Tribolium castaneum: one gene and its partner. The protein of the gene in region 1 interacts with the protein of each later gene in a biochemical or structural test. Links are inferred from orthologs where the notes say so. Each region holds a gene or a part of one and is shown in the gene's direction. Other genes may lie near its edges.

Region 1 (6,548 bases):
AAGGAACGAACCCTGCTCTTTGCCAGCGATCGTCGAGATGATTGCGGCTTTTATGAATAAGAAACCGGAGGACGTGGCCTTAGCTACGTCTTTTAATGCCTTGAAACTTTTCGGATTGTCTCAATGATCCGAAAGTTGTACTAATTAAGGGGAACATACAAACATATTATATTTTGTCTATTTTCGAAATCATGTGGGCAGCTTTATTAAACGAATTTAGCTATAATAGGGCGAAGAATACAACGAATCGTGTAAATAATTTTAGGTGATCACCAATGTCAACATGTTTACCAAAAGCGGTTATTACCGTTTTGGAACTATAAAGTTTATCACGTCTTATCCTGTATTTTTGTAGTTGGACTACGTTACGTTTAGCAACTGTTAAAGCCGAATTGTATATTTTAGGTAACATGAAATGTATTTGTTGACTGCTTAGTTTTATAATGCGGACGAAAGATTTATGTTGAAGTAATAGAATTACGCTTTGTTAAAGTATCATAATTTTGAATTGTTGATATAGGAAGTATGAAATTATGGCGTATAATCAATCTGATGCAATATTTTTGTTGTTGCTGTAATTTCGGTAGCATGTTCTTGTAGTTTTAATTTTATGGACGCTGTGTAGTGTAAAATGGCCCATTATTTTTGTAATTAATTTTCATATTTTAGGGGTTTGTTTGCCACAATAATTGCCTCTTTATGTGATATTTGTTTCCATTTTATAGACACAAATGTGCCTTATCTATTACAATATGAAGAATAAATAAGTTGTAATGAATTACTGTACTTTTCTTTGTCCCAAATGACCCTTTTACATAATTTATTATTGTCGTCCGTATTTACATGATAAACAAGACTCTAGAACAACAACGATAAGGATAATTCTTTGTAAACAAATAAATTCCTTTCAAAATTGAACAGACGAATTTGGCATTTCATGCAGGTATTAATGGGTGGTTTATTTGAAACGTTTGAAAAGCATAAATTGGAAAATAAATTAAAATTTGAAAAATAAAAAAGGGCGTAATTCCAAAACAAAGAAAACAGCTGATCGATAAAGCTGACGACGTAGATAAAAATCAGCTGACATGTCACCAACAACTACTGGCCAAAGTCCCTAGAATCTTGTTCAATTAAAAGCAATTTTCTTAATACCTGAAACATTGTTTTGACCACGATTAACCGAATTGGCATTAAACTGATAGCAACTAAAGTTTATGTATAAATTTTTGATTAAAGAGGACGTTTTTTGGATAATTAGTCGAAAATTCTAGAAAGTGTACTTTGGGTTCGAGATTAAAAAGGAGTGGGGGAAGCCGTCCGTATAAAAGCGGTTCCACAGCTGCATTCGCCATATTGTCTGAGCAAAAGTGGTGAAATACAAAAGCGATTTAATTAAAATTGTGAATTTTCCTAGCCGTAAAGGTATGTATTTTAATTTCATCATGAATTATTCGATTGCAAGAAGCGCAGAAAGTCGCAATTTTGTGAAATTTTTCGCATGACGCAATAACATTTGTTTGAAAAAACATCGCCCTAGTGACGTGTTTTTTTGTTTAAATTTTAACAAAATTAATTTTGTAAATTTGTCGATCTGTTCAAAACCAAACCACATAGTGAGTAATGTGTTTTTTCGGTTTATTCAGTGCGTAATTCTTTGTTCAACGAAATCCAATATGGCGGCTTGGAAATTTGCTTTGTCACAAAAGTAATTTTTTGTGTCGTTGCAGATGCAGATCTTCGTGAAGACTTTGACTGGTAAAACCATCACCTTGGAGGTCGAGCCCTCCGATACCATCGAAAACGTCAAAGCTAAGATCCAGGACAAGGAAGGTATCCCCCCAGACCAGCAACGTTTGATCTTCGCTGGCAAACAACTCGAAGACGGACGCACTTTGTCTGACTACAACATCCAGAAGGAATCGACGCTCCACTTGGTTTTGAGATTGAGGGGCGGTATGCAAATCTTCGTTAAGACACTCACTGGCAAGACCATCACTCTGGAAGTTGAGCCCTCTGATACGATCGAGAACGTCAAAGCCAAGATCCAGGACAAGGAGGGCATCCCTCCAGATCAACAGCGTTTGATTTTCGCTGGTAAACAACTCGAAGACGGACGCACCTTGTCCGATTACAACATCCAGAAGGAATCCACCCTTCACTTGGTTTTGCGTCTGAGGGGAGGCATGCAGATCTTCGTCAAGACCTTGACTGGGAAAACCATTACTTTGGAAGTCGAACCTTCCGACACGATTGAAAACGTCAAGGCTAAGATTCAGGATAAGGAAGGGATCCCACCAGACCAACAAAGATTGATCTTTGCCGGGAAACAACTAGAAGATGGGCGTACCCTCTCAGATTACAACATCCAGAAGGAATCCACCCTTCACTTGGTATTGCGTTTGAGAGGTGGCATGCAAATTTTCGTCAAAACCCTGACTGGCAAGACCATCACCTTGGAGGTCGAACCTTCTGATACCATTGAGAATGTTAAGGCCAAGATCCAAGACAAGGAAGGTATCCCACCAGACCAACAAAGATTGATCTTCGCTGGAAAACAACTTGAAGACGGCCGTACTCTTTCCGACTACAATATCCAAAAAGAATCCACCCTCCACTTGGTGTTGCGTCTCCGAGGTGGCATGCAAATTTTCGTGAAGACTTTGACTGGAAAAACGATCACTCTTGAAGTCGAACCTTCGGACACAATCGAAAACGTGAAGGCGAAAATTCAGGACAAAGAGGGGATTCCCCCAGATCAGCAAAGATTGATTTTCGCCGGCAAACAGTTGGAGGATGGTCGCACACTCTCCGACTACAACATCCAGAAAGAGTCGACCCTCCACTTGGTGTTGCGTCTCCGTGGTGGCATGCAAATCTTCGTAAAGACTTTGACTGGGAAGACGATCACTTTGGAAGTAGAACCATCGGACACTATCGAAAACGTTAAGGCGAAAATTCAGGACAAAGAGGGGATTCCCCCAGATCAGCAGAGGTTGATCTTCGCCGGCAAACAGCTCGAAGATGGCCGAACTCTCTCCGACTACAACATTCAAAAAGAATCAACACTCCACTTAGTATTGCGGCTCCGAGGTGGCATGCAAATTTTCGTTAAAACTCTGACTGGCAAAACCATCACCCTGGAAGTCGAACCTTCTGATACAATTGAGAACGTCAAGGCTAAGATTCAAGACAAAGAGGGTATCCCACCAGACCAACAAAGATTGATCTTTGCTGGAAAACAACTAGAAGACGGCCGTACTCTTTCCGATTACAATATCCAGAAGGAATCCACTCTCCACTTGGTGTTGCGTCTCCGAGGTGGCATGCAAATTTTCGTGAAGACCTTGACGGGAAAGACGATCACTTTGGAAGTAGAACCCTCAGACACAATTGAGAATGTTAAAGCTAAAATCCAGGATAAAGAAGGCATTCCTCCAGATCAGCAGAGGTTGATCTTTGCTGGCAAACAACTCGAAGATGGGCGCACCCTGTCGGACTATAATATTCAAAAAGAATCAACCCTACATTTAGTATTGCGTCTGCGAGGAGGTATGCAAATTTTCGTGAAGACGTTGACTGGGAAAACAATTACGTTGGAAGTTGAGCCATCGGACACGATTGAAAATGTGAAGGCCAAAATTCAAGATAAGGAAGGTATTCCCCCAGACCAGCAAAGATTGATCTTTGCGGGAAAACAGTTGGAAGATGGTCGCACACTTTCGGACTACAATATCCAAAAGGAATCCACTCTTCATCTAGTCTTACGTCTTCGCGGAGGACAGTAATTTTCTGGAATTTCTATGCTTAATATTTTTTTTACTTTTTGTTACAAGTTTCCTGAAATTACGAATAGAGAATAAAGATTGATGGCTTAATTCTTGTGTTTTATTTTAGTACTCCATGTGAATTAATTCAAAAAAATGCTTATCAAAATTTTAAAACATTTGGCTTTACGGGGTTGGTTTGTCTTTGGATTTGGAGCTTAGACGAGATTGTAGGCCCGCGAGAATGTACGCTCACGAGAATTCTCCAAAAATCGCCAACACACAAATTGAAATTAAAAAAAGATTTGAGGTATATTTCCAACAAGGCAACAAATTCTTAAAAAAATAAGTTATTCATATGACTGCACATATTTTGGAGTAATTCGTTAAGCTAAATACAGTGTTAAAAATAAAGACTTCACTTTCATTGATATTCGGAGAAACCGGACTTGGCAGCCGATCGAATTTGACGTTAGGCATAAAAATAAAAAACTTAAAGACAAAAAAAATGATAACATTTAATCACCCACACAAAACTCAATGGAACTACCTACAAGTTAATGACAATGTCACAAAAAACTTTTTCGATTCGACCGTATTTGGCAAAAAATCCATTTCAAATGCATTCATTGTTTTACGCTAGTGCGCATAGATAGCAATAATAATATTACAGGTTACTATAAATATAAGTTAATAAAATTAATTTTGGCACTTAACACCTAGATGCCGCCATCAACTTTTTTTTTTAATAATGAAAATTATCGCTGCCTACATTTTTTGTTTTTAATTTTTTTGTGTAATTTAAAAAGTTTAATAAAAATATAGTAAAAATTTTATAAAATCTGCGATTCACAAAATGCGAATTATCTTCGTTCCCGTACAAGATAAAGGGGTGGTTCTGCCCTTTTGAAAACCCTACCGCCCCGTAGTATTTTTCCTGGGCTATCGACTGGAATGGGTCTCGTTCCCGTATCTCCATCAGGAACCGAAATAGCATTGCACATTTTTAAATCGGGAATCGAAGTACATGACGTAATAGTGCCGCAAAAGTTACGTGTGCATGCAAAATTTGAGGTTGCTACGATAACAGGAAGTGCCTCAAAATTGACTTGTAAAATTTGATTCAAAATAAATCACATTAAATAAAGACTTTGAACAAAAAAGCTGAAGTTTTTTATTGGAGTTTTTATTCAAGTTGCTTTGTTTGTAGTCTTTCGGAATTATAAATATTTTGAACTTAAATTTGAGACACTTCCTGTTATCGTAGCAACTTGAAATTTTGCATGCACACGTAACTTTTGGAGCACTATTACGTCATGTACTTCGATTCCCGATTAAAAAATGTGCAATGCTATTTCAGTTCCTGATGGAGATACGGGAACGGGACATATCCCATTCGATAGCCCAGGAAAAATACTACGGGGCAGTAGGGTTTTCAAAAGGGCAGAACCACCCCTCTATCTCCTACAGGAACGGAGATATTTAAGATTTTGTGAATTACAAGATTTTCTTCAATTTTTATAAAAATTTTGTAAACAACCTAAAATTTTCTTTCACTTTTCAAAATTTTTATAGAAATTTAAGGAAATCTTGCATTTCACAAAATGCGAAATATCTCCGTTTCTGTAGGAGATAGAGGGGTGGTTCTGCCCTTTTGAAAACCCTACTGCCCCGTAGTATTTTTCCTGGGCTATCGAATAGGCTAGGCCCCGTTCCCGTATCTCCATCAGGAACCGAAATAGCATTGCACATTTTTTAATCGGGAATCGAAGTACATGACGTAATAGTGCTCCAAAAGTTACGTGTGCATGCAAAATTTCAAGTTGCTACGACAACAGGAAGTGTCTCAAATTTAAGTTCAAAATATTTATAATTCCGAAAGACTGCAAACAAAGCAAGTTAAATAAAAACTCCAATAAAAAACTTCAGCTTTTTTGTTCAGAGTCTTTATTTAATGCGATTTATTTTGAATCATATTTTACGAGTTAAATTTGGGACACTTCCTGTTACCGTAGCAACTTGAAATTTTGCTTGCACACGTAACTTTTGGAGCACTATTACGTCATGTACTTCGATTCCCGATTAAAAAATGTGCAATGCTATTTCGGTTCCTGATGGAGATACGGGAACGGGACATATCCCATTCGATAGCGCAGGAAAAATACTACGGGGCAGTAGGGTTTTCAAAAGGGCAGAACCACCCCTCTATCTTCTACAGGAACGAAGATATTTCGCATTTTGTGAATCGCAGATTTTATAAAATTTTTACTATATCTTTATTAATTTTTTAAAATTACACAAAAAAATTACATACAAGAAAACGAAGCAAATGATATTTTCCATTCTCTTTAAAAAAAAAATTTTGATGGCGTCATCTAAGCGTAGGTAAACTAAAAGTTTACAGTATTCTATAAAATTGTAACTGCCATCTATGTGCAATATTTAAAAACAGTTAATGCGCCCGATTTATATTTGTAGCGAAGTCCGGTTGTTTAAATATTGTTAAACCAAAAAATGTTCAACCTATCACTTAAATAAATCATTTATTTGTGCAATAGCATGCTTTCATATGTTTAAAACCACCAAGTTTACGTGTCCCCCTTTTTTATAAACTTGACATGCTCTCCACTCAGATTAGCCTTGGGTTGGCAATCCTTAAAAAATTCTCGTCAGCGTAAATTCTCGCCTATGCGCTGGACTCTTGACAGCTTCTGACTTCGCAAATTCGTTGTCGTTTTGTTTGGTGTTCTCACCATGTATAGATAGTCCTGGTGAACCAAC
Region 2 (8,028 bases), on another chromosome or scaffold:
AGAGGCCGAGGAATACGAAAGGGCGACACGGTATAATTACAGCGACGAGGAAAAATTCGCGCTAATTGAAGTCATTGCGATGATTAAGGGATTACAAGTGCTGATGGCCAGAATGGAAACGGTGTTCACTGACGCAATTCGGCGGAATATTTACGCCGAATTGCAAGATTTCGTACAGATTATTTTGAGGGAACCGCTGAGGAAAGCAATTAAAAATAAAAAGGATCTTATCAGAAGGTAGCGCGTTTTTGTGTCCACATCACGTAACACGTTTTTTTAGTATCATTATGTCGGTGCGAGAAACTTGCGCTGATTGGCAGAGAGGTGTCGAGCCGACTCAAGACCCGGCTTTGAGGGGCAAAAAGGACGATAACGGGTTTAATGTTAAAGTGCCAAGGAGAAACGTGGGTCCTTCCTCCACCCAACTTTACATGGTCAGGACAATGCTGGAGTCGCTAATTGCCGATAAATCAGGCGGCAAAAGAACCCTGAGGAAGGACATAGACGGTCAATATTTAATGCAAATTGACCAGTTCCACAAAACCTCCTTCTACTGGAATTATCTTCTCAGTTTCAGTGGTACGTACAAAAACATTGATATTAATTCATTTCCTCCCAGAATCGTTGCAGCAATGTTGCGACCTGTCGCAGCTGTGGTACAGAGAGTTCTACCTCGAGATGACCATGGGACGGAGAATAAACGTGAGTAACGCGTAATTTTGCCAAAAATTTGCCAAACTTTTCATAGAAATGCACCGTGCGTCACGCTCATAACGAAGAATGTAACGATTTGATCACGATGGAAAAACGCATACAATTCCCAATCGACATGTCCATGCCTTGGATTTTGACTGATCATATTTTGAAAACTAAGGAACCCTCGATGATGGAGTACGTCTTGTACCCGCTTGATTTATACAATGATAGCGCGCTTTACGCACTGACAATATTCCGAAAGCAATTTTTATACGATGAGGTCGAGGCTGAAGTTAATTTATGTTTTGATCAGTTTGTTTATAAACTGAGCGAGCAAATTTTCGCGTACTATAAACAACTGGCGGCAAGGTATTGATAAAAATCATGGGAACGCTTTCACAATCAATCCTTTCAGTATCTTTCTTGATAAGCGCTTCAGAGTGGAGTGTGCCGCCTTGGGGGCTTACCTGCTCCCCTACCCGCGAGCAAATCGTTACGAAACCTTGCTAAAACAGCGGCACGTCCAGTTATTAGGGCGGTCGATCGATTTGAATAAGTTGATCACTCAGAGGATCAACACCGACATGCAGAAAAGTCTCGATTTGGCAATAAGTAAGTTCGAAGGCGGTGACATAACCGGGGTTATGGAACTGGAAGGCCTCCTACAAGTGAATCGGTTGTGTCATAAATTGCTGAGCAAGTGGCTCGCACTTGACGATTTCGATTCAATGTATCGTGAGGCTAATCACAACGTTTTGGCGCCCTATGGCCGCATCACCTTGCATGTGTTTTGGGAGCTGAACTACGATTTCTTGCCTAATTACGTCTACAATGCCGCGACGAACAGATTTACTAAGTATCGGGGGCAGATTGCTTTCGCGGGGGCTGTCCACAGAGATAAGCCGCCGCAAATGTCGCATCATTACATGTGGGGGAGCAAGCAACTGAACCTTGCCTACACGACTCAGTATGGCCAATATTCCGGTAAATCTAGCTTATGGTCCTAATTTTGTTTAACTAGTACGGTTTAGGGTTCGTCGGGCCTCAGCATTTCCACACAATGTGCAAACTCTTGGGTTATCAAGGCATTGCAGTTGTGATGGAGGAGCTCCTCAAAATTGTCAAAAGTCTGATCCAAGGGAACCTCCTCCAATTCACCAAAACTCTAATGGAGGTCATGCCAAAGCAGTGCAAATTGCCACGTTACGATTACGGCTCACCGGGTAATGATTTGCTTGATTTGGGCGGAATTAATAAGACGAATTTTAGGTGTGTTAAGTTACTACCACGCCCAATTGAACGACATTGTCCAATACCCCGATGCCAGGACCGAGTTGTTCCACAATTTCCGAGAATTTGGGAACATTATCCTGTTTTGTTTACTGATGGAACAGGCCTTGTCACAGGAGGAAGTCTGTGATTTGTTGCAAGCGGCACCGTTTCAGAATATCCTCCCACGGCCGTTTTGCAAGGAAGGGGAGAAGCCCGAAACGAAGCAGAAACGGCTTGAAGCCAAATATGCCGCCTTGCAGATTGTACCAAATATAGAGAAGTTAGGAACTGCAAAGGTTGGATAAATGTGCAAACAACTGTTTGTTATTTCGCCAATTTGTAGCAATCTTTGATATCGAAGGAGGGCGATTTATTGACCCGTGAGCGGCTGTGCTGCGGTCTCTCGATTTTTGAAGTTGTTTTGAACCGATTAAGGACCTTCCTGGACGATTCGGTTTGGGTCGGACCGCCGCCTGCTAACGGTGTCATGAACGTTGACGAATGCACCGAGTTCCATCGCTTGTGGTCGGCTTTACAATTCGTCTATTGTATTCCAGTTAGCGAGAACGAATATACTGTCGAGTGGGTACCGACTTTATGTTTCGTTTTATTTATTCCGTGTTTCAGGGAAATGTTTGGCGAAGGTTTGCATTGGGCGGGGTGTACAATGATCGTGCTTCTGGACCAGCAAAGGCGGTTTGAGGCCCTCGATTTCTGTTACCACATTCTGAGAGTACAAAGAGTTGACATGAAGGATGAAATTGTGAAAGGCATTGTATGTTGGTTGTACGGTTGTTTTCGGTCTATAATTGTCTTTCCCAGAGCTTGAAGAGAATGGTGGACAGGATCAGGCGCTTCCAAGTGCTCAATTCGCAGATCTTTGCGATTTTGAACAAGTTTTTGAAGTCGAGTGAGAACGACGAGTTGTCGGTTGAACATGTACGTTGTTTCCCGCCACCGGTCTACCCAATGAATCCGCAACAGCACTACCACGCACCCGAACATCTACGCCAGTGTTGAAGCACGTTTATTTTATACATTTGTTGGAATCAGCTTTCAACATTTTATAATCTTTTATATTTATTATAGTCCTACTACATGTGTAAATCTCATTACAAATGTATCGCCCACCCTCATTTATTATCGGCCTTATTGGTATTGCTTTAATTTTTCATAATAAAATTTTCGATGCCTGCTTGAGTGTGTTTTATTTCGCGCGTTGTTTCAAATTCAGGGCTGCCAACCGGGGACTTAGTCCCGCTGGTGACTGTTGATAGCAGCTGTTCGTCGTGTGTTGACAGTAGTTGAGAGATTTGTCAAACTATAGAAAATAATTCAATAATTTTGTAGTATTTTCTGTATTTTGAAAAATTAGACAATGACAATTTTACCAGCCAAAAGACCTTCGGCGAATCCGGAGGAGAAAAGCGACAATAGTCAGCAAAATGTGAGTAGATATGTTAAACTTGTCATTTTTGATCTTTTTTTAAGGAGAAACTTCATAATCATAAATCGTGTTATCTTTATTGTCAGCGTGTTGGACTAGCGAAATCTTTGCTTGATCTTGAAATTTTGTACACGATTGCGTAATTAGATAGGTTTAATAATGTAATAATGTAAAATAGGTAGGTAATGATTGCTTTCCAATACTAGCTCAAGAGCTGTCTAGGTCGGCTTCCTTTGTTCGAATAATTAAGGCCCGACTTTTTTTAGGGGAATTCCGAGCGAGCGGTGCGTAGGAGAGACGATATAAGTTCTCTGAATGAGGCAAGCCCTTCAAGCCGCCGATCTCAGTTCCCCTAGTAAGTTTCCACCCTCAATCGCGGAAAAATTCATTCTTGCTTCCAGCGTCAAGTCAACAACTGAGCGGAAAGAGCGTTTGAGGAAGCGATATAAAGAGCCAGATCGGGCGCGAGATAGGGAACGCGAGCGCGAACAAAAACGGGAAGTTCGGAGGGAACAAAAACGGGAACGAGTTGCTAAACGCGATATCTCAAATGAGCCTCTACATGACAATAATGCGAGTAATTCGGTTGTTGACTCAGTCGCTGTTGAGCCCACTTGCAACAACAACGAACCTGGGACTGCGAACAAGGAAGACTACACGGGCTTCAACAGCGAGGATGAGTACGATGACCAGGGACTCCTCAAAGAGCGGAACATACCGGATGAAGAGTGGCAAAAAAGGGACGTGTTATTTTCCCGCGGCATGTCCAACCTTGGGTTCGAAATCAAGCAAATGAACGAAGATGGGGCCTGTCTCTTCCGGTCGATAGCAGACCAAGTGTACGGCGACCAAGAATTCCATTATCAAGTCAGGCAGGACTGCATGAACTACATCGTAAGTTGTACGCAAAGTGGGGATTTTTTCTAATTTGTTTCTGGAAGGTTCAAAACCGTGACTACTTTGAACCTTACGTGACGGAGGATTTTGATAAATACGTTGCACGGAAACGTATATGGAACGTACATGGCAACCATTTAGAAATACAAGCAATGAGCGAGTTATATAATAGGACAATCGAAGTTTATTGCTACCAAATAAGTAATTTTTGCCTTTCTTCCGCCTGATTTTTACTAATACGCCGTTTCCAGCACCAATCAATATATTCAATGGTTCAAGATTAATTAACTCATATGAGCCTATTAGATTATCATACCACAGGATGTGTCATTATAATTCTATTAGTAACCCAAATAAACCTTCAGTAGGGGTAGGCTTAGGTTTACCCAATTACCATACCGTTGATATTGACAGAAGAAGGTTCAATGACGCTCTGCGGGCTAGTGATGAGTTGCTAATTGAACAGGTAAACCAATCAAATAATTCCCATTCATAAAAAAGTCACTGAATTTTTATAACATACTAACCACACAGTGGCGTACCAAAACATGTCCCTTTCTTCGCTCCCGCTGATTAAAAATGTATTATTTAAATTGATTACGTTCGGGGTTTTTTGCCCATTCGTGAAAAAAATATTTTTTGCGCCGAGTTTTGTAGAATTCTTTGGTAGAATTTTTGTCTTATTCGTTACTAATCAATTTTTTTCTTGTAGAAACGTGCTGATGGAGCTCGGTCGGAACCGCTTTGTCGCGGTACAAACTACCAAGTACAATGGTTTTTAACAGTGAAATTTAAAATATGGAACGTAAAAATAGTAAAATAAAATTTTATTTCAATTTATCACGATGGGAAATCGCAGTCGTCGTATTTTTGTGATTTTCTTGTTTTTATCAATAAATATACACTCACTTGTTATTGTTACGCCACTGGGAAACCTCATGTTGCGCATGAGATAAGTTACGGTTTTGCTTGCTGTGCGCACTCCAGGTAGCAGGCCCCACCTTTGTTCAAGGCTGCAAAACGGTTAGATAACGAAGCCTCAGGGGCGGAGCACAGCCACTGTCACAAGGCAGTAGCGTAGATGTAATCGAAAACACTTCGGTAAAAATTATAGGGGCTTTCACGAATTATTCTCAAAATTTTAACAATTACGCCTATCACTTTCTTCAAAATAAATAAAAGTACAACAAAACCCACATAAAACCTAGACTCGCGCTCATTACAGTATTATTACAATGTAAAATGAAGCTACTAGCTCGCTTTGGACGTTTTTTTATGTATTTTGAGGAATCGAATTCTTATTACAAAAATTCTACAGTGAAACCTCGTTATCCGAATTTAAAAAAGTAAAATTCGAGTTAAGGCGAATTCGTGTACACACTTCGCTCAGACTTTTTTTTGCTTTTACGCCAGTATTACTAATAAATTAAATTACTAATAAATCCTAATAAACATTTCACTAACCACAAGCGATGTCATAAAATTGACAGAAATAACACTTCAGAACCGGTGAGAGTGTAACGTATCTGTAGCCATGGGGGTACATTTTGAGACACACTGTACAGCACCGCTTTTATTACACTGTGTTTCGATCTACATTTATCGAAGCGACACGTAAGAAATGACAAAGGCGTTTTTTTCACCGCTTAAACTTATCTGTGCGTTCAAATCCACACAGGGACAAGTCACAATCCCTTGTAAGTGCCATTTTTAAGTCAAATTACTAAGCGTACTAGGCGTAATGAATGTGAGGTTATACATACCATTTTTTCGGTGAATTGGGACGGGGTTGCACTTTGCACTGTTAAACCCACACAAAGTGAATTATTGCAACAGTTTCGATGTAATATTCAAATTAAGTTGTGTACCGCACTGCTATCACTACATTGTCTAGTAGGGGGTGCCAACGTTGAAAACTCAAAAACCACGCAATGTTCACTAGCAAAATATAAAAACAAACATAAAAAAACACCCAGGCACACATTTTCACATATAAATTAACAAATTTACAAGTTTTGGTGGCGGGATTTCAACAAGTATGTGGACGCGAGATGGCGGTATAATCGTCCGGGACGTTTCTGTTCTCTGATTGGCTGTTGGTGTATAATACAATACTCGGAAATATTAGAAGATTAATTTTTTCCGACGTGATATATGCGTACAGATAGTGTTGTTTTGAATTACTAAGTGTTAGCTTTGTATTACAAAGGTTATTATATTTTTTTTCGTCTGTCGTGGATCTAGTTACGTGCATCCGTGAGACCCGAAATTGGCGCCCTGATTGACAGTTGTCTTGACTAATCAGAATCTTTCTAGACTATGCTAGAAGACAAGTTGAAAGCAACCGACTTTGAAGCCACCAACGAAGCCATCGAAGAACAGGTAGCTCGCGAGTCCTACATCCAATATTTTCGCGACTCAGAACGCCGTTTGAAGAACCAAGGACACTCCTGTGGTAGCAGTTCAACGATAACATCAGCAACCATGTCCAGCTCGCGCTCGTCGAGGAAAGGCTCGGTCTCCCCGAAGGGATCGCAGTCCCCCAAAGGGTCCAACTCGCCAAAGACAACACCACTAGGTACTCAAGTGTGAGTCGATGGCGTTTTTTAACATTTCCTTGCAGCGAGCCCCCGAGGCGCTGGGGCGCCGTCCCCATCGACTAGCCGCTATGAGGCCGACGTCAGCGGGGGCGATGTGGCGGGAGCCTGCGGTGGACCACCGGAGGAATTTCCGAAATTTTCGCCGCGCCGTTCTGAGCCCCCGGCCGAGGATGTTAATAACCCGGACTATGATGAAAATTTCAACGAGGACTTTAAATTTGATTTTGATTCCGATTCGGATCAGTCGGCTGGGGCCGGGCCATCAAACCGCGGTGATATAGGTTTGTCTGATTTTTGCTTCAAACAAAATGGACGTCGATTAAGTGCATTTTTCGGACAAAAATTGATATTTTAGCGATTTTTTCAGCTAGCCCTCCGGCCAAATGCGCTGCTTCATCGCAGGATAATCGAGTTATTACGGTAGGGTTAGCTTAGAAAAATTCTAAGCCCACATGTAATTGGGCAAAAATCGTGGTTCCTGAAGAGATTAGAGCTTGTAAAAGCTGTAGGTACAGCTAAATGGACCACCTATATTTTTTGCATTTTTGGATGCAGCTTTTAAAACTAATGACTTTGACTTTTATTTTTTTGAACTTTTGAACTTTTATTATTTTATTATACTTGTTATTATATTTTTTCACTTAGTAACATTATCATTTACAATTTTTCTTCATGTGTCACTCGCTATAACATACTACAATTTAATTACGTTATTGTAATTTAAAGTATCTGACAATTTAAGATATATTCTTTGGGGAAGCTTTTAAAAAAACATGGAATATTATTTTGTACTTTTTGCATATTGTGAGTGATTAAATTTAAAAAATATACAGAGCACTTAAAAACTGGCGCACCACGTTCTTGAGAAGCAAATGTAGATTACAGGAAAAATCTTAAAAAATTCCTACATTTATATTATAAAAAATATGGGCATACAAATTTACTTTGTTGACTCTTTTTTAATGTTTTTATGTTTCACACTTCCGATACCGGCTGTTAGACAATGATGCCACATATTTGACAGTCACAATTTAAGACAATTTAAAGAAAACACACATTAAAAATCTCCTTTTTATTTATTTTTCCAGAGCCACACGTAATTGAAAAAAATATTTA

Evidence for each region.
Region 2: the proteins of Ubi-p63E (region 1) and Duba form a complex in vitro, tested with the Homo sapiens proteins (9 studies listed by BioGRID, with this or other methods). The link is inferred for Tribolium castaneum from reciprocal best matches to the Homo sapiens genes UBC and OTUD5.

Annotation. Positions count from the first base shown.
Region 1 is NC_087396.1:13,942,831-13,949,378, forward strand, and holds Ubi-p63E (polyubiquitin), read left to right. Parts: upstream 1-1,476; 5' UTR 1,477-1,616; intron 1,617-1,730; coding exon 1,731-3,788; 3' UTR 3,789-3,878; downstream 3,879-6,548. Other genes in the region: 3'-5' ssDNA/RNA exonuclease TatD, read left to right, coding at 1-127.
Region 2 is NC_087403.1:2,183,813-2,191,840, forward strand, and holds the start of Duba (OTU domain-containing protein 5-A), read left to right. Parts: upstream 1-3,228; 5' UTR 3,229-3,346; coding exon 3,347-3,415; intron 3,416-3,681; coding exon 3,682-3,770; intron 3,771-3,816; coding exon 3,817-4,309; intron 4,310-4,356; coding exon 4,357-4,513; intron 4,514-4,563; coding exon 4,564-4,778; intron 4,779-6,628; coding exon 6,629-6,890; intron 6,891-6,935; coding exon 6,936-7,193; intron 7,194-8,028. Other genes in the region: Cyfip (cytoplasmic FMR1-interacting protein), read left to right, coding at 1-237, 281-579, 620-702, 749-1,065, 1,112-1,680, 1,728-1,919, 1,966-2,264, 2,312-2,550 and 2 more. UniProt on the Homo sapiens protein: Deubiquitinating enzyme that functions as a negative regulator of the innate immune system. Has peptidase activity towards 'Lys-48'- and 'Lys-63'-linked polyubiquitin chains. Can also cleave 'Lys-11'-linked ubiquitin chains (in vitro).